Saccharomyces cerevisiae S288C: one gene and its partners. The protein of the gene in region 2 interacts with the protein of the main gene of each other region in a biochemical or structural test. Each region holds a gene or a part of one and is shown on either strand. Other genes may lie near its edges. The genes, in order: SIR4, YKU80, NEJ1 and YKU70.

Evidence for each region.
Region 1: the proteins of YKU80 (region 2) and SIR4 form a complex in vitro, tested with the Saccharomyces cerevisiae proteins (2 studies listed by BioGRID, with this or other methods).
Region 3: the proteins of YKU80 (region 2) and NEJ1 form a complex in vitro, tested with the Saccharomyces cerevisiae proteins (one study listed by BioGRID).
Region 4: the proteins of YKU80 (region 2) and YKU70 are reported together in a solved structure, tested with the Saccharomyces cerevisiae proteins (4 studies listed by BioGRID, with this or other methods).

Annotation. Positions count from the first base shown.
Region 1 is NC_001136.10:915,918-922,165, reverse strand, and holds SIR4 (chromatin-silencing protein SIR4), read right to left. Parts: upstream 4,596-6,248; coding exon 519-4,595; downstream 1-518. Other genes in the region: PCF11 (Pcf11p), read left to right, coding at 1-240; adenylate kinase ADK1, read right to left, coding at 5,012-5,680; HTA1 (histone H2A), read right to left, coding at 6,238-6,248. UniProt on the Saccharomyces cerevisiae protein: The proteins SIR1 through SIR4 are required for transcriptional repression of the silent mating type loci, HML and HMR. The proteins SIR2 through SIR4 repress mulitple loci by modulating chromatin structure.
Region 2 is NC_001145.3:477,749-482,164, reverse strand, and holds YKU80 (ATP-dependent DNA helicase YKU80), read left to right. Parts: upstream 1-1,974; coding exon 1,975-3,864; downstream 3,865-4,416. Other genes in the region: YMR106W-A (uncharacterized protein), read right to left, coding at 978-1,241; YMR105W-A (uncharacterized protein), read right to left, coding at 3,907-4,101. UniProt on the Saccharomyces cerevisiae protein: Single-stranded DNA-dependent ATP-dependent helicase. Involved in non-homologous end joining (NHEJ) DNA double strand break repair. DNA-binding is sequence-independent but has a high affinity to nicks in double-stranded DNA and to the ends of duplex DNA.
Region 3 is NC_001144.5:673,908-677,447, forward strand, and holds NEJ1 (Nej1p), read right to left. Parts: upstream 1,549-3,540; coding exon 520-1,548; downstream 1-519. Other genes in the region: YLR264C-A (uncharacterized protein), read right to left, coding at 1-37; PDR8 (Pdr8p), read right to left, coding at 1,712-3,540. UniProt on the Saccharomyces cerevisiae protein: Involved in non-homologous end joining (NHEJ). Facilitates the transport of LIF1 into the nucleus, where it can interact with DNA ligase DNL4 to repair double-strand breaks (DSB). Mediates mating-type regulation of NHEJ.
Region 4 is NC_001145.3:836,463-840,501, forward strand, and holds YKU70 (ATP-dependent DNA helicase YKU70), read left to right. Parts: upstream 1-1,724; coding exon 1,725-3,533; downstream 3,534-4,039. Other genes in the region: RIT1 (tRNA A64-2'-O-ribosylphosphate transferase), read right to left, coding at 1-405; NGL2 (RNA exonuclease), read right to left, coding at 3,682-4,039. UniProt on the Saccharomyces cerevisiae protein: Single-stranded DNA-dependent ATP-dependent helicase. Involved in non-homologous end joining (NHEJ) DNA double strand break repair. DNA-binding is sequence-independent but has a high affinity to nicks in double-stranded DNA and to the ends of duplex DNA.

The DNA of each region.
Region 1 (6,248 bases), on a different chromosome or scaffold from region 2:
GGAAAATATGTTGTTGTACCAGAAACTTCACAAGATATGGCCTTCAAATGTCCAATTTGTAAGGAAACCGTTACTGGCGTTTATGATGAAGAATCTGGTGAATGGGTTTGGAAAAATACTATTGAAGTGAATGGCAAATATTTCCACTCGACATGTTATCATGAAACGTCGCAAAATTCAAGCAAATCTAATAGTGGCAAGGTCGGTTTGGATGACTTAAAGAAATTGGTCACAAAATAAGAGCAGAACTGCATATATACATTTAAATTTAATAACTATATATTATATTAAATTCTTTGTTCTTGGTATTTGATGGGTTGCTCATTTGTTTATTTTTTTTTTTTTTTTTTTTGCTTATGTGTCCATTATATTATATGTAATTTTACATATGTAGCCAAAAGCCCAACTAATCATTAAAATCGATTAAAGACCGTAAAGTAAATTGTTCATTATAGAAGAAAACGACAAAGAAAAACAGGGTACACTTCGTTACTGGTCTTTTGTAGAATGATAAAAAGTCAATACGGTTTTATCTCCTTATTCACTTGAAAATCTTTTTCCATCAATTTGTTAATTTTAGCATCTTTTTCAGATATTTGACTTCTCGCATTTTCAAGACATTTCTTTGTAAAAGTTAAATCACCTTGAAGTGAAGTTATTCTAATTTCATTCCTCATAACTTCATCTGACAAAGACCGAATAATTTCATTTGCAACAGCCAATTGTTTTTCCTTTTCATCCAGCGCCGATGCTGCTTTCGACAAAACGATATCCACAAAGGAAAGACCATCTTCTTTCATGTCCTTCGAACATTCGGTGACACTATCCTTATTATCAATTTCAAGTTCTGTTTTTTGGGTTGATGTGTACATATTTGATTGTTGAGTACCAGTTTGTGAATGTGTTCCTAAAACGTCAACACTAGTTAAAATTTCTGTTGTATTACTGTCTGTTATATCGTCGAGTTGTTTCACTCGACGATCTTCAACGATTGGAACCCTTTTTCCAACAGAAAAATAGCCGTAGGACGCAGGTCTTGAGAAAGAGAGTGAGATGTTTTCTGATGCGTGCTTCCCATTTCCAGGGATTATTTTTGCTTTGTTAGAATTAAAAATACTGTCGAATTGCTTCTTTTCTGGTAGGGTTTTCGTTTCCATTGTGCTCAGCTGCACCAAAGACTTCACATCTGGCGGAGAAGAAGGCTTCACATTTTTAACCATTAACGGTTTTTTTGTAATTTGCAGTATATCCTTAGGCATAATTTTGGCATCTGCCATATGCTCGGGCTCGACCACATGTGGTTTGACCGACGTGGATATAGAAACAGGTTCACAGGACTTCTGAATATCAAATCCCATGTTGGAAACAAATCTCTGAGTCTTCATAAATGACCAAAATCTGGCTTTTTTTGCATCAGGCTTGTTCTGTAATTCGTTGTAGTAAATCTTAATTTCAGAACTCATTGGGTAATCTTCTATTTCACCTTTCAGTATAATGATGTCACTCTCTCTAAAATTATTGGAAATTGCTGATTTAAGGTTGTTAGCAAATATATCTTTAAGTAACTGCATTTTTTCGTTAATTATTTGTCTATCACTGTCGGAAAGCTCCGAAGGGAACTCATCAACCAACGAAACGGAAATAAGTTTCAAATTTGCAAGCCATTCTTGCCTCCAAGAGCTTTTTGAAAGGTTCTCCTTCGTGTTTTTGGGTTTGCTAGAATTAGTATCACTATGCGACACTCTTCTATTGCTTTTAGTAGGCGTGGTACTTAGCTTTGTTTCTTCGAATCCTAATGGAGAAGACACGGTTGGAATTTGGGATGGTTTAGCGGAAGAAGAATTTTGTTCTTGGCTATGTTTCCCTATATTGATATTTTTATTGGTCACATCATTTTTTTCAGTGTTATTTGTGTTTTCAAATGTAGAAACTGCATATAATGGCAAATATTGTAATCTGTCCTTCTTGTGCACTTGTTGGTAAAAGAAAGCACTTGATGTTTCATAGTTTTCAACAGAGCAAATGTCGTTAGTCACACTAGTTAATGGATTGCCACTTAAATAACTATGTTTTGGGATCCCTTGTTCAATAAGGTCAGTTATTGTTTCTTTATCGTATGTCGTTTTATCAGCTATCCTCCAAAGAATGTTTTTCGTCAATTCACGATCAGATTTTCGCCAATCCAATACAGGATCAAACCATTTGCCTGCCTGAATTTGGTCCTTTTCAGCACTTGTATCTAAATCATTAGTTACTTTGATTTCATTTGATTCACCAGAGCTTAAACTTTCCAAGTCAGTTAGGCTATCATTATCTGAAGAAGAATCGTCTGAGTCGGACACGTATACCAGCTCCATTTTTCCCGGGTGAGTTATTATCGTATTCATTCTCCCACGGCAGATCTTCTTTTTTTCAATTTGCTCATCCTCTGTATGATTTGCGAAAGATTTCTTTGAAGGTTGAGATAGAGAAACTGGAAAATTATCGCTATACTCATGCTTACTTGCACTAACTGGCTGAGATAGAGACACCTTATCAGTCTTATTTTCTGGCTTTTCAGTGGAAGCGATAGTTTCCAAAAAATTGGCTTTTTCTTTTGACAGAGCATCACTAGAAAAAGGTTTGCTTTCACTTTTAATGAAAGGAGCCTTGAGTACGTTTGAAAACAAATTTAATAAAGATTTGCTTTCAACAGCCTTGGAAACCGGTTCATCCTTTGATTTAACATTCTCCCGGTCAATCTCTGAGGATATTTTTGGAGCAGATTCAACCTGAAAAAGGTCATTAGTTCCAATTTTTATATCTTTTTTTTGTGTAACTTTATGTGTGGAAGGAAGAGCAGTGTTTTGTGATTTATTTAAAGGGTTTTGAATAGTTTTCTTAGCCTCATTTGATGATTCTTTCGTATGCAAAATATCTCGCACAATTTCCTTAGGCTCTAATTTCTTTTGGATGTTTATTGTACCGTTTGAGATATTTGGAGTTCGCCCTTCATTAGGCTTATGCTTTTTCATAGGATTCGGTATTTCTCCTAGCTGGGGCCTCTTTGATGGTGTAACATTCAGGGTATTGTTTCTCGAATCAATGTGGGATTCTCCTTGTACTTTTTGAAGCACTTTTCGACCATCTATTCGTACACTCTGTATCTGCTTTGTGGTTTCTTCGGTTACTTTGTTTACGTGAGCTTCAGTGCTCATGATTTCAGGCGGCCTCTTACCAATTTTCTTGTTTTCACCATTTTTATTCTTTGCAGAAGTGTTCATATCATTTTTCTTTTCTGTGCTTCGAGAAGTAGAGTTATAGTTGTTTTCTTGGCCTTCATATTCAACAAGAAAAGCAAGTTTTGTAGTTTCTTCATCTCTAGTGGAAAAATTTCGGCTGTTTCTACGCCCTTGAGGTCTGTCAGCTGGACTTTTCGACAAATGAGGTGACTTTAAGATTTCCATCCTCTTGAGGTCGGCGTCTTCCTTCATTTTTTGTTCAGATGTTATAGGCTGATGCTTCGAAGGTGCAAGTGTTTTCTCATCGTGCAGTGTTATTTTATCTTGATCAATGGCGACTTTTTTTGGAGATGGAACGATCTTCTTTGATGTTAGAGTTTCTGTCGTGGCTGACGTCCCATTGGTATCTAAGGCCGATGCGACCGTACTATTTGCACTATTCTCATCTAATTTTACTGGTTTTTCTTGATTTATTTCTAAACGCTCGTTAGTAGATTCCTCATTTATTCCATACACTTCTGTTTGTATGGCATTCGGTTTTGCAATTCCAGGACTTCTTGCCTTGCTCTCCTCCGGTGATATACCACTGTCACCGGCACTAACCTTCGGAACTGATAGTGAATCAGAATGGGCAAAGTTTTTACCTATATTCAACTTTTCTTCTTTTTTTTCTTCTACGGTATCTTTCCTGATAGATTTGTCCTTGGTCAAAGAAATCACAGAGGCGCCGATGTCTGCTGATCCTTTTTTAAGTGGCTTCTCTAAAACAGGCTGTTCGTTTGCCAAGTTTATGCCTAGAATCTCTTTAGAGTAATCCCTTATTTTCTCTTCACTTAGTAAGCTTTTTACTCCTGATAAAAATGAGTTATTGGTTTGTGATGTTGATATCGGTACTATGGTACGTACAGGCTTTGAATTGAAGGTAGAAGTTTGTTGCTGCGCATGCCGGGAAAATGCTGTTTGTTCAAAACTTGCTAGAGACCTGCTAGCATCATGTGAAGGATTGTTTGATTCAATTCTTCCTGCTGACGTTTTGGACCGAAGAAGGGAGAGTAGTTTGCTGTTGCTTATTTTTTCCAGATTTGAGTGAGGAAAAGAATTATAGTTATTTTTTTTCAGTGGTGAGGATTTTGGCTGTTGCAACTGTTTATGGGAAGTCGGTTTTACATCACTTGGTTGATGAGGTGAGGTATGAATTGCGGTTGACGGCCTTGAATAGTTTTTGCTTTTGGCAAACGTGAATAATGGAATTTTAGGTGTCTTCACTTCATTGGATTTTTCTTCTCTTTCAGGAATTTTATCATTCGGGGTTACTGGTTTTTTAGTAAACTTGGGAGTGCTGGACCTATTGGGTGTCTTATTGTCATTTGGCATTGGCTGTTTTCTTCGCTTTTTTGGTATTGTGGGTTGAAGCTTCCTTTTTTTTTTTATCCCCTGCAAAACGATGTCCAGTTAGAACTCTGACTGAATTATAAAACCTGAAAAGCGCTTATTTCGTTATAGGTTTATAAAAAGCTTCACTATTACTGTTATACCGTTTTTGTTTATGTGATGCGCTTTTGTTCATCTATTTAGTAATATGATTTGCGTTCGTTCTCAACGATAAAAATATTGACTAAGTACTTAATGGCAGTGCACATGTTTAAGGACGTTATAGCCAGTTACAAACACTTATGTTATTATTTCATTTATAGTATACTGCGGATATATGTACTCACATACAAAAATTTATTATATTTTCATTAATTTAAAAAAAAGAAAAGATATTTAGAAGACATTGCGCAAGGTCATTAATCCTTACCTAGCTTGTTCAAGATGTCAGCCCAAACAGTAGCAGGAGGTTGGGAAGCATCAACACCAGCCCAGATACCGGTCTTTTTGTAAAAGTCAACAATTGGTTCGGTTTGAGCATGGTAAGCAGCTAATCTCTTCTTCAAGGCGTCTGCATTGTCATCAGATCTTTGAACTAAAGCTTCACCGGTGACGTCATCCTTCATGTCTTCCTTTGGTGGGTTAAAGATCTTGTGGTAGGATCTGCCAGAGGCTGGGTGAATTAATCTACCGGTAATTCTGGCAACCAACAATTCATCATCAACCTTCAATTCGATGGCTTTTTCCAAAGGAGTTCCTTGTTCTTTCAACATTTGGTCCAATTTTTCAGCCTGAGGAATGGTTCTTGGGAAACCGTCCAAGATGAACCCATTCTTACAAGCTGGATTGTTGGTCAATTCATCCTTGATCATGTTAACCATAATGTCATCAGAGACTAAACCACCTTGGTCCATAATTTTCTTTGCTTCCAAACCTAATTGAGTGCCCTTTGCGATTTGAGATCTCAACATGTCACCAGTGGCCAAGTGAGCGGCATGGAAACGCTCTTGCAAATTTGGAGCTTGAGTACCTTTACCGGCACCAGGTGGGCCAATTAGGACCATTCTAATGGATTCTGAGCTAGACATTACTGTTATATTTGATGCTGTGTGGTGACTTTACCAGAGAAACGTTAATGTTTCTTTATTAAAGCTCTCGTTTCTGATAAACCAGGTAATCCATTTCAGAAATTTATGCGTATATATATATACAAATATGCGTAATAAAACTAGCCAGAGTGAAAAAGTCGAAAATCAAAAAAAAATGGGCGAATAAGGACAGAAGCCGCGGGCTGCTGCGGACAGTTCTCCGTGACAGGATCGCGCAATCGTGAGCTTTTTTCCTTTGGTTGTGAAAATTTCGTCACACTATCAAAGTGAACAAAGCACAGAATGTGTTTGCTACTCAATCATGTTCAAGTAAGCAACAGTGCCCAATGAACCTAAACAGAGCAACAGAGAAAACAGGAAGACACAACAAAAAATTTATATCATGCATGACATATGTTACCGTTAATTATATACCCAATAAATTATATATAGAAAAATAAAAAGGAAAAACAGAAAGGTCTAATAGACACTTAATATAGTTACAATGGAGAAGCAGTTTAGTTCCTTCCGCCTTCTTTAAAATACCAGAACCGATCTTATAATTCTT
Region 2 (4,416 bases):
AAACAAATATGAAACTAATACTGAAAAGGGAAGCATTGGTGATTTTTTTTTCTTGTTCGTACTTCCTTCTGAGCAGAAAGTAAAAAGCCCAGAATGCGACAAAGACATACTCCGGCTGACAATAACGCAAGTGCTGTCACATAAGACTCCTTATATATGACAGTTTGCTGTATTTGTACAGTTGGACCGTCTTCATTACAACAATATTTATTGAACAGTAGCTTGTAATAGGCCGGCATTTTTTTGGTTAATAACAATGCCAGATAACCGCGAAGATTTATAATGGTTTATCGGTTGCATTTTCCATGAGTATAGAAACTATTATAGCGACCTCATTCTCCGGTCATTTAAATTTCCAAGGATCTTAGAGTCCACAAAGGACACAAATAATTTTACATAATAACGATATTACCTCTTTTTCCATTTTATGCGTTGTCGTTCACTATCCTGTTACATTATCAATCTTCGCATTTTAGCTTTTACCACATCCGATAGCCGTTTCTCAATATTATGCCATCTTCCTACACCATATAAGATAATATACCAGTAATATTGATACCAGTGAATGGATGATAGTTGATTGTTATTCCAACAAATAAAATCACAATCATTATCACCATTGCAATGAAACTCCATTTATCATCTATTTAGTAGTATTCATGTTTCTAGTATATAATCATATGCGGTGTAAGAAAATGACATAAAGTTTGAGAAACAGTCATCAAATCTAATGAAAGCTGAAATGCGAAGATTGATAACGTAATAGGATAATAAACGACAACGTATAAAACGAAAGAAGATAAAGTAATTTTTATTATATAGATTTATCGACTCCCTTTTGTGGATTCCAAGATCCTCGAGGAGAACTTCTAGTATATACTGTATACCTACATTATAGCTTTTGTTGACAATGGAGTCCCAACAATTATTACAATATTCACTTATTTCTCACATCATTATGAAGTGACTCCCCTCGGTTAAACGTTAGCGTGTTCTTCATTGCCTGTGGATGAGGATGAGCGCCGGTGCAAACTTTCAAGTTTTTCGAGAGCGTCTTCAAACTTAGCTACCACATTGTTGTCTACATCAACAAAAGTATGGTTCCATACTAAACTACCATCTTCTTTATTGCCGCTTAATTGTAACACGTCTACATTACCAGAATGATGAACTCCGCCTGTCAGATAGTCGTGCTTTGGTGCGGTCTTGATAAAATTGTTGATTGCTTCCATCGATATCATGATTCAGCCTAGGATTTGTGGGTTGCTTTGATTGATTGGAAATGATCGACTATGAGACCTTGAACCAGTTTAATTTTAAAATAAATATTTTTGTTGAACTAGTTCAGCAACCGAAATCCAGAAAAAAAGTTCTAGAAGAATAGTTTTATTAACTTTGAGAAAGTAAAAGCTGAGATAAAAAACCAGCTCAACATATAAGAATACAAGCTGACGGTAAATAACAATAAGTAGCCTTGTTGGCGCAATCGGTAGCGCGTATGACTCTTAATCATAAGGTTAGGGGTTCGAGCCCCCTACAGGGCTTCTTTTTTTGAAGATTCAAGTAAATATGCTGCATACATAATTCTCATTCAAAATATATACACTTAAGACATCTGGCCTTTTCTAGTTAATCTATATATTTAGTTCTTATAATAGATGAATGTACCGTCAACCAAAGATTAGCAGTTGGAGGGCGTTAAAAACAATTTACCATTGCCAGGATTCGACAACACTATTGTAACGTATTTCTGTTTCTGGTCTTGGAGTAATGTTTGTAGTCTATTAGCGGAAGTACCTTTTTACAGTGTCGACACAATTTGACTATTTTTTCAACTAGATTACCGCATGTCCGTCAGGGCATTTGTTGTCATGCAAAAAAATGAATAAAAAAAAAGGGCATCATCAAGAGAAGAAAACCTAATTAACGAGAGTGCAGGACATATGCACAAATAATATATCTCACACCATAATAATGTCAAGTGAGTCAACAACTTTCATCGTGGATGTTTCACCATCAATGATGAAAAATAATAATGTTTCCAAATCTATGGCATATCTAGAGTACACTCTATTAAACAAATCTAAAAAAAGTAGAAAAACAGATTGGATAAGCTGTTATCTCGCTAATTGTCCCGTATCTGAGAATTCCCAGGAAATACCAAATGTGTTCCAAATACAATCCTTTTTGGCTCCTGTTACCACGACGGCCACCATTGGGTTTATAAAACGCCTGAAACAATATTGTGATCAGCACAGTCATGATAGTTCGAATGAAGGCTTACAATCAATGATTCAATGTCTGTTGGTCGTCTCATTAGATATTAAACAACAATTTCAAGCAAGAAAAATTCTAAAACAAATTGTTGTATTTACAGACAATTTAGATGATCTGGATATTACTGATGAAGAAATAGACCTGCTAACGGAAGAATTAAGCACAAGAATCATTTTGATTGATTGCGGTAAAGACACTCAAGAGGAGAGGAAAAAATCGAACTGGTTAAAGTTGGTCGAAGCGATACCGAATTCAAGAATCTACAATATGAATGAACTTCTTGTTGAAATCACTTCCCCAGCAACATCTGTCGTTAAGCCAGTAAGAGTATTCTCAGGCGAGCTTAGGTTAGGGGCAGATATATTATCAACACAAACATCGAATCCTAGCGGCAGCATGCAAGATGAAAATTGCTTATGTATCAAGGTAGAGGCTTTTCCTGCTACGAAAGCAGTTTCAGGCTTAAATAGGAAAACCGCTGTTGAGGTGGAAGACTCCCAGAAGAAAGAAAGGTATGTGGGGGTCAAATCCATAATCGAATATGAAATTCACAACGAAGGAAATAAGAAAAATGTCAGTGAAGATGACCAGTCTGGATCGTCATACATTCCCGTGACCATCTCCAAAGACTCTGTAACGAAGGCATACCGTTATGGTGCAGACTACGTAGTGCTACCGTCCGTTCTAGTCGATCAAACTGTATATGAATCTTTTCCAGGCTTGGATTTAAGAGGATTTTTGAATAGAGAAGCTCTTCCAAGGTACTTTTTGACGTCGGAATCCTCCTTCATTACCGCCGACACAAGACTTGGCTGTCAATCTGACTTAATGGCTTTCAGTGCTCTAGTGGATGTTATGCTAGAAAATAGAAAAATTGCTGTTGCAAGATATGTGAGCAAGAAAGACAGTGAAGTGAATATGTGTGCATTGTGTCCCGTTCTAATTGAGCACAGTAACATTAATTCCGAGAAGAAGTTTGTTAAGAGCCTTACCTTGTGTAGATTACCATTCGCGGAAGACGAGAGGGTAACTGATTTTCCAAAACTTCTGGATCGAACAACTACATCCGGGGTACCGCTGAAAAAGGAAACAGACGGGCATCAAATCGATGAGCTTATGGAACAATTTGTAGATTCAATGGATACAGATGAGCTACCAGAGATTCCGTTAGGCAACTACTATCAACCCATAGGCGAAGTAACAACAGACACCACTCTCCCACTTCCCTCTTTAAATAAAGACCAAGAGGAAAACAAAAAGGATCCTCTTAGAATACCCACGGTTTTTGTCTACAGGCAACAACAGGTGCTACTGGAATGGATTCACCAACTGATGATCAATGATTCCAGGGAATTTGAAATCCCAGAGCTTCCTGACTCATTGAAAAACAAAATAAGTCCTTACACGCACAAGAAATTTGATAGCACAAAATTGGTTGAAGTGCTCGGCATCAAGAAAGTAGACAAATTAAAACTCGACTCCGAACTAAAAACTGAGCTTGAGAGGGAAAAGATCCCGGACCTAGAAACGCTATTGAAGCGCGGTGAACAACACAGTAGGGGAAGTCCAAACAATAGCAATAATTAAAAAAGGTCTAACATCCTTTGAGTTATGTTTTCGTCACCACAGTTAAAGAGAAAAAAAAATAAATAGCGGGTAAATAATTGTCATACTACTGATTTGCATTGTTACCTTGTAACTTTGAACACTAGCCATGCAGGTTGCTTTTCCTCCTTTACACCTTCCCCCCTGTCGCTGTTCAAAAGTAAATGCAACAACAATAAAACGTGGGTAGAGGACGTTCCCTGTATGTACTAAAATCATACTATCATCCGTTGAGGTCGAGCGGTTCTCTAATCTCAACACACGCTGCTGCCCCTGAGCTTGCGAGCTAAGGACAACAGGGCCAACTTGTTCTTTCTAGGGGGGAGAGGCCCAACTTAGGCTCGGTGAAGAGAAGCGCGGAGCTCACGAAAAGGGGTGGTGTCGCGCACTACTTTTTTCGTGGGGAACTTACGTGAAAGGGGACGTTATACTTTTGTTATGTGCAGTTCCAGGAACAAACAGGGGTTGAAAAGTGTAAAAGAAATAGTTGATTCTTTCAGAATCTGGATGACTGCCGCCCGAACAATGTGGGAA
Region 3 (3,540 bases), on a different chromosome or scaffold from region 2:
CATCTATCGTTAAATACAATTTAAATATTACATTCATGTACTTACTCAATATAATAATCTGATTACTTCATACAATAGAAGAGAAAGAAACAGTCTCTAAAACTGCTGTCATAACGCGTGGTGTTGTGGTTTTGCTTAATTTTTTTAGACCCATGCACCAGATATTGATCCAATTTTTTTTTGTGGCTCTTTTGCCAATCGCTCTTATTAAGTAAGTTTACATCCGCGGTTATGTTTTGCGTCTAAATTTCATTTACAGTGATGGCGAGCTTGCGCGGCTATTTTTTATGCAGTTTATCATTTAGACACTCAGAAGCTGCAGTGATGTAAGATACTGCTTGAAACTACCGTTAGATTAATAATAAACAATTAGAACTGTCCTAATACATATAAACTTATATGCTCCCTATCAATGGCATAACGTTACCATTCAATAAATTAACATTATCAATGCGTCAACAAAGGAATAGAACTATTTGAAAGGTCCAACCTTAATTTTTGACGTTTAATTGACTTGCCTTAGTTTTTTATTCTCACCTTTCCAAATTTTCTTTTTTTCTGTGGGTATTCTTCGACCAAAGAAGAACTTGATTTTGTTTTTTCTGGTGTAGCCTCAGATTCAGAAAAATTCTCCAGGCGAAGTTGCGAACTGGTACTACTTTCTCTAGATTTTGGCTTGAAATCTGTCTTTGGTTTAATTTTACCGCGGCTATTTGGTCGAGCCTCATTTGTAGGGTCTGCTTGCAATTCAAAATCATCATTATAAAAATGATTCACCGCAGGAAATCTGACGCGCTCTTTTTTGTTAAGTTCTCCAGATTCTTCAAACCGCGACACATCTTGAAATTTGTTTCTTAAAGATAATAATGTTTTTAATGAGTCCGCCAGAAATTCTTGATGCTGGAATTTTCCTTTATGTAGTAATTTTTTGATTATGTCATCGTCTGTGCATTGCTGCAGAGATTCATAATTCTTAGAATTTTCAGGAGCCCATTGACTGATAACTTTACTCCCACCGTCTAAATCACGAAGAGAAATTAAAAGAAAATCTAAGCATTTTTGCTTTTCATTCAAAATATCCCGTTGTACATAGTGGTATTGGGTGGAAAGGTTTACCAATTTTAATAAAAGCATGCATAAACTTTGCAAAATCATATAGAACATATCCTTAGTAACATGTGAAGGTACGCTATTTATGGAAACTGTAATATCCGCAGATACATCGAAACTAAAAACCAAATTTGAATCTACCAATCCAATTTGGTTAATTTCTTGAGGAGCTTGTAGAATGTCCATTAGTTTTAGTTTAATTAGATTTAATGATATACTATCCGTAAAACCTTGGCTCTGGCATTGCTGTGATAATTGAGTTTGTGAAAGTTTGAAAACGTAGGGAACTAAGCGCTCCAAGGAAACTAAAACAATCATTACAATTGTGGTTGGAGATGACATCGGTAGAAATAATAGGAGACAATTTCCCTCACCATTAATTTTTTTAACACACCATTCTGCATCACTTAGCTGCTGCCCTTTCAACTCAGAATCCATCACACATGTGTAAGATTAACCTCCTATCTGGCCGTTGTTATGGTTATTCTCCATAGGGTTTCCACTTATATGACACTATTTTGTGTTTGCCCGCTGCCAACACTATCATCCCTTTTTGGGACGAAAAAATCCATGTAAAAAAATACATCAATCATAAATACATTTATAAATCGAAATGATATTGTTTATAAAATTTCTTTTTGTCAATGGACCAAAGGTCTTTGGAAATCTCTTTGAACGTTTTCCAAACATCATTAATAAAATCTTCAATCATGAGATCACTGAAGTGCTCCATATTAATGCCCTTTTTCAGCCAAATTTTTTCAGTCTCTATTCTTGCTTGGGACGCTTTATCGAATAAAACCCTACTTACGCGTTCAAACGCCAAAGTTGAAGTTAACTGATAAAAATTGGAAACTGCTTTTAACAATCGCTTATTTCTTTCATTAACAGCAAATATGCTATCAATAATTTCGTAAAATCTTATTATTGTTCCTGAAAATGACAGAAATTTATCAGTCCTAACATCGAATCCTGTCAAAAGTTCATCAAAGTTTTCTTCTTCATATTTAATGAATTGTATTTTTTTCCCAGTGTCAAGGTCAATAAGGAAAAGGAATGCCTTCTCCCTGAAGATTAACCTATTAAATGCTAAACTGTACACTTGCGATACTATTCGTATTAAAAGTGGATTGATTAGAATAATAGACAGTTTTAGCCCTTCAGTTAACACGTTCTCCTGGTCGTTGATAGGCTCTTTAAAATGAAATACCATTGTATTAACACAGACTGATATGGATATCAACAAGAACTGAACCATTCTGTTCTTATCTATGATTCTGCTTTGTTGAGCGATGATCATCTCAATATTGTATATACTAGCAACTATACTTAGAGATCTTGATAAAATCAATATATCAAAGGGATCAATATCAGAGTAGTAAACTGAATTTGTATAATGTTCGATAGGTGAAAAGTTAGATTGTATAAATTCAATCAATCTCAATGAAAAAGTGGTCAATTTTTCGTTCATCTCTCTCTTGTGAATTTCACGAGTAGTGAATCGGGAAACATCTAAAAAATCGTGCATTAGCTTAACTCTCCTAAAGTCAATACTCGGTGATTGGAAATTCTGCGCAGTAAATATACTTAAGTCCAAAAGATCATCTGAAATAGACGGAGGATTACCTATATCATATGAGGTGGATACATCAAGGAATAAAGCCCAAAACCAAATACACCTCAAGTTTTGTTTGGTTTCCTCACTTTCGTTCAAATACCATTTATCAATATCATTTAAACCCAAACTTATGCACCCCTGGCATAGCTCGTTGATTAAGTCAACGCCTTGAGTCGCATCCCATACACCGTCCGTGCAATTTATCATTACACTAATATAGGACAATAAGAAAAATTGTAGTTTTTCCACGAAATTTGAGCTCGATGATGACAAGGACGCTGCACTTAAAGTGTGAAGGAAATGACTCACGGAAGAAGGGATATCTTGGTTATAATAGCCCAAGCAAAGAATTTGAAGTACAATGCCAAGATTATACTTATCTTTTGCATTACCTTGCAAATCGAGGAGGATGACTAGGTTCTTGTCCGTGGTATCTCTAATAAAAAGTCTGTCCAAGAGGGACAGAATATCGTCTTGGTTGAAGATATGCAATATGCCGAACAGCGGTCCAGCAAAAAAAGATTTAATACAGCTTTCCATTTGAGGAAAACTAGGCAAATCTGCTACAACATCATTTTCATTTAATTGCGATTTAGTGCATTCAGGAAGTGGTTTCAAGACTTTCCATAAATTTTGAAACTCAGTTTGAAACTTATTTTGTTCAAACAAAGATAAAGTTTTCCAGGAAGTGGGGCCAAACACATACCTCGAGCCATTATCACCTAAAACCGAAGTTCTCAGTGACCGTAATGGATTTTCTGAACTCCTGCAATACACCGGTTTCGCATTATTGTTATCGTTTTCCTTCAGTA
Region 4 (4,039 bases), 360 kb from region 2:
TGGGATTTTTTTACCTCTTCTAGTACTATCGACAATTATAATACCTTTATTATCTCGAATGGTCTCTAACAAATGAAAGTTCAATCTTCGGGTGCTAAAGTCCCATTGGTTGACATGCCCGTCTGTGCTCTTAAAGTAACTGGTCTGTTTGAAACTTGATGGATTACAGTACCATAGCCCACATCTTTCATTGGGTATCAGTGGATAATGGGGAAATATAGGGATAACTCGATCTTGCAAAAATTTATTGTCTAAAAGAATACTCTGAAGTCGATTCCTTACGGACTTGTTTTCCTTTCTGATGTCTTTATTTATCTGAGATAGCGAAAGATAAATATTTTCATCCATCACGGATATACTAAACTGTACTCTGGATCTATATCTCTTTGATAGCCTCGATACCATCCATCAAGAGATCAAAATTTTCAAGCATGCTTTTTTTTTCCTGCATATGAACAATGAATAATGGGCCCAGTCACAGTTAAGCAGTAATAAGAACAAAGCACATAAACATACAACGCATATATGAAGAGCAATAGAGTGGTGGGATGATTTTAGAAGTTCATTTTTGATGAAGATGATAAGATTATGTAATAGCGGCTATGCTAAGCTCCCTTCGGGCATGGAAATCAACAAAAAAGTTGTAACCGTACATAATATGACGGGAAATGCAACAAGCTTTCCAAGAAGTAATGGAAGGCATAGCTAAAGGACTATCTGGCTCGGCCATAAGTTTGAAATTTGTGTATACAGGTATAGGAAACCCTTATACCTACCTAAATCGTCGAAGCTACTGATATATTGCGTATAGTCGATATGCCCAATGTAATTCATATTTCATACTCTTCTCTTGTACAGATTAAGGGCACCTGTTTTATTCTTAGAATATACTACAACCTGCCTACTAATTAACAATGATACTATTAACGGTGCAAAACCGGATGCTCAAATTTAAAGTGATTACTCAGTTATAAACACGCCTGGTGTGAAATTAACGACCATTAATAAGAATAAATATTACTGGCATATTATAATATGCGGTGGAAAAACATAAAATAAGGATTGAGAAATAGTTATCAAGTATAATGGAAGCTGAAGTGCAAGGATTGATAATGTAATAGGATAATGAAACATATAAACGGAATGAGGAATAATCGTAATTTTATTATGTAGAAATATAGATTCCATTTTGAGATTTCTATCCTCGAGGAGAACTTCTAATATATTCTGTGTACATAATATTATATAGCCTTGATCAACAATGCAATCCCAACAATTATCAAATTATTCACCCAATATTCAGTATAATCCATATTTATAGAATATATAGGATAATTATCATCCCCTCAATCAAGTTGATATTCCGTTTTGACAACAGGTCACTTCTGCAAGGTTGCTTATATTAAAATTGTGAATAAGCATGATATTAGACGGACTCATAATTGAATGGTTATCAGTTAATTGACTCTCGGTAGCCAAGTTGGTTTAAGGCGCAAGACTGTAATTTACCACTACGAAATCTTGAGATCGGGCGTTCGACTCGCCCCCGGGAGATATTTTTTTACTTTTGATTACCTTAATTTTTGAAGATTCTCAATTTCATGTATTAGGGATTGCTTTAAGGTAGCTACCAAATGACATTCTCTGTATTACTGTTCTAGTTTTCAACAGTAAAGCTATGATTTGTTAAGTGACTCTAAGCCTGATTTTAAAACGGGAATATTATGCGCTCAGTCACTAATGCATTTGGCAATAGTGGAGAACTTAACGATCAAGTGGATGAAACAGGTTATAGGAAGTTTGATATCCATGAAGGAATTTTGTTTTGCATTGAACTATCAGAGACAATGTTTAAAGAGTCCTCTGATCTAGAGTATAAATCACCATTGTTGGAAATTCTGGAATCACTAGATGAGCTAATGTCACAATTGGTCATAACAAGACCTGGGACAGCTATTGGTTGCTATTTTTATTACTGTAACAGAGAGGATGCCAAGGAAGGTATCTATGAACTTTTTCCATTAAGGGATATAAATGCTACATTTATGAAGAAATTGAACGATCTTTTAGAAGATTTATCATCGGGGAGAATAAGCCTATACGACTATTTTATGTTTCAACAAACTGGGAGTGAAAAGCAAGTGCGCTTATCTGTATTATTCACATTCATGCTTGACACTTTTTTGGAAGAGATTCCGGGTCAAAAGCAATTAAGCAACAAGAGAGTGTTCTTATTCACTGACATTGATAAACCACAAGAGGCGCAAGATATCGATGAACGGGCAAGATTGAGAAGGCTTACAATTGATTTATTTGATAACAAAGTGAATTTTGCAACTTTTTTTATTGGCTATGCCGATAAACCATTTGACAACGAGTTTTATTCGGACATACTGCAGTTGGGTTCACATACAAATGAGAATACTGGTTTGGATTCTGAATTTGATGGTCCAAGTACAAAGCCTATAGATGCTAAATACATCAAGTCCAGAATCCTAAGGAAAAAGGAGGTAAAGAGGATAATGTTTCAATGTCCATTAATCTTGGATGAGAAAACAAATTTTATAGTCGGAGTCAAGGGTTACACTATGTATACCCATGAAAAAGCTGGAGTCAGGTATAAACTTGTTTATGAGCATGAAGATATCAGACAAGAAGCATATTCAAAAAGAAAATTTTTAAATCCTATAACAGGAGAAGACGTTACTGGTAAAACTGTCAAGGTTTATCCTTATGGTGACCTCGATATCAATCTATCAGATAGTCAAGATCAGATAGTAATGGAGGCTTATACTCAAAAAGATGCGTTTTTGAAGATTATTGGGTTCCGTTCATCGAGCAAATCGATACACTATTTCAATAACATAGACAAAAGTTCGTTTATCGTACCAGATGAAGCAAAATATGAAGGTTCGATAAGAACCTTGGCTTCTTTATTAAAAATTTTGAGAAAAAAAGATAAAATTGCAATATTATGGGGGAAGCTTAAATCAAATTCACATCCTTCACTATATACGTTATCACCCTCAAGCGTGAAGGACTACAACGAAGGATTTTATCTCTACAGGGTTCCATTCCTAGACGAAATTCGAAAATTTCCTAGTTTACTATCCTATGATGATGGCTCTGAACATAAACTAGATTATGATAACATGAAAAAAGTAACTCAAAGTATAATGGGATACTTTAACTTGAGGGATGGATATAACCCATCCGATTTCAAAAACCCACTATTACAAAAACATTACAAAGTTTTACATGATTACCTGTTGCAAATTGAAACCACTTTTGACGAAAATGAGACACCTAATACTAAAAAAGACAGAATGATGCGTGAGGACGATTCTTTAAGGAAACTATATTATATACGAAATAAAATTTTAGAATCTGAGAAGTCAGAAGATCCAATCATCCAAAGGCTAAATAAATATGTTAAAATCTGGAATATGTTCTACAAAAAATTTAACGATGATAACATTTCGATAAAAGAAGAAAAGAAGCCCTTTGATAAAAAGCCGAAATTCAATATATAAAGACGATTGAAATCCTTCATATCTATAACGTTACATACAATATTTGGTAGGGTAGGGTATTTGATGTAATATTTATTATTAAGAACTTTTGTCGTGCTAAACGTTGTACTGTACAACTATTAGCAAGATATTTATGCACGACAGTAATCTATAGTTGTAACTCTAAATCACACACCATAGACAAATGATCACTTGCATATTCTCCAACATGTGGTTGTCCATGCTTTGTCATTTCATTACCGGGCGGCATTCTCAAAAAACCTCTGCATTTAACTTTATTTTCTTTTTCAAAATCGCCAAGGGTTTCCACTTCCTGACAATTACTTTGTGGGTCCCATTTCTTTACATAAAATAGATAGTCTAATAAACCACGCCAAGTGTTTGCCCAATTTGAAATTTCAGGCTCACCTCTATCATTATCAAGACCTGCATTTTCTGGATGAACATTCTTATACCCAACAGAGTATAGTGAAATAGCCCTCATATCCAATGAGTTATGGAGTTGT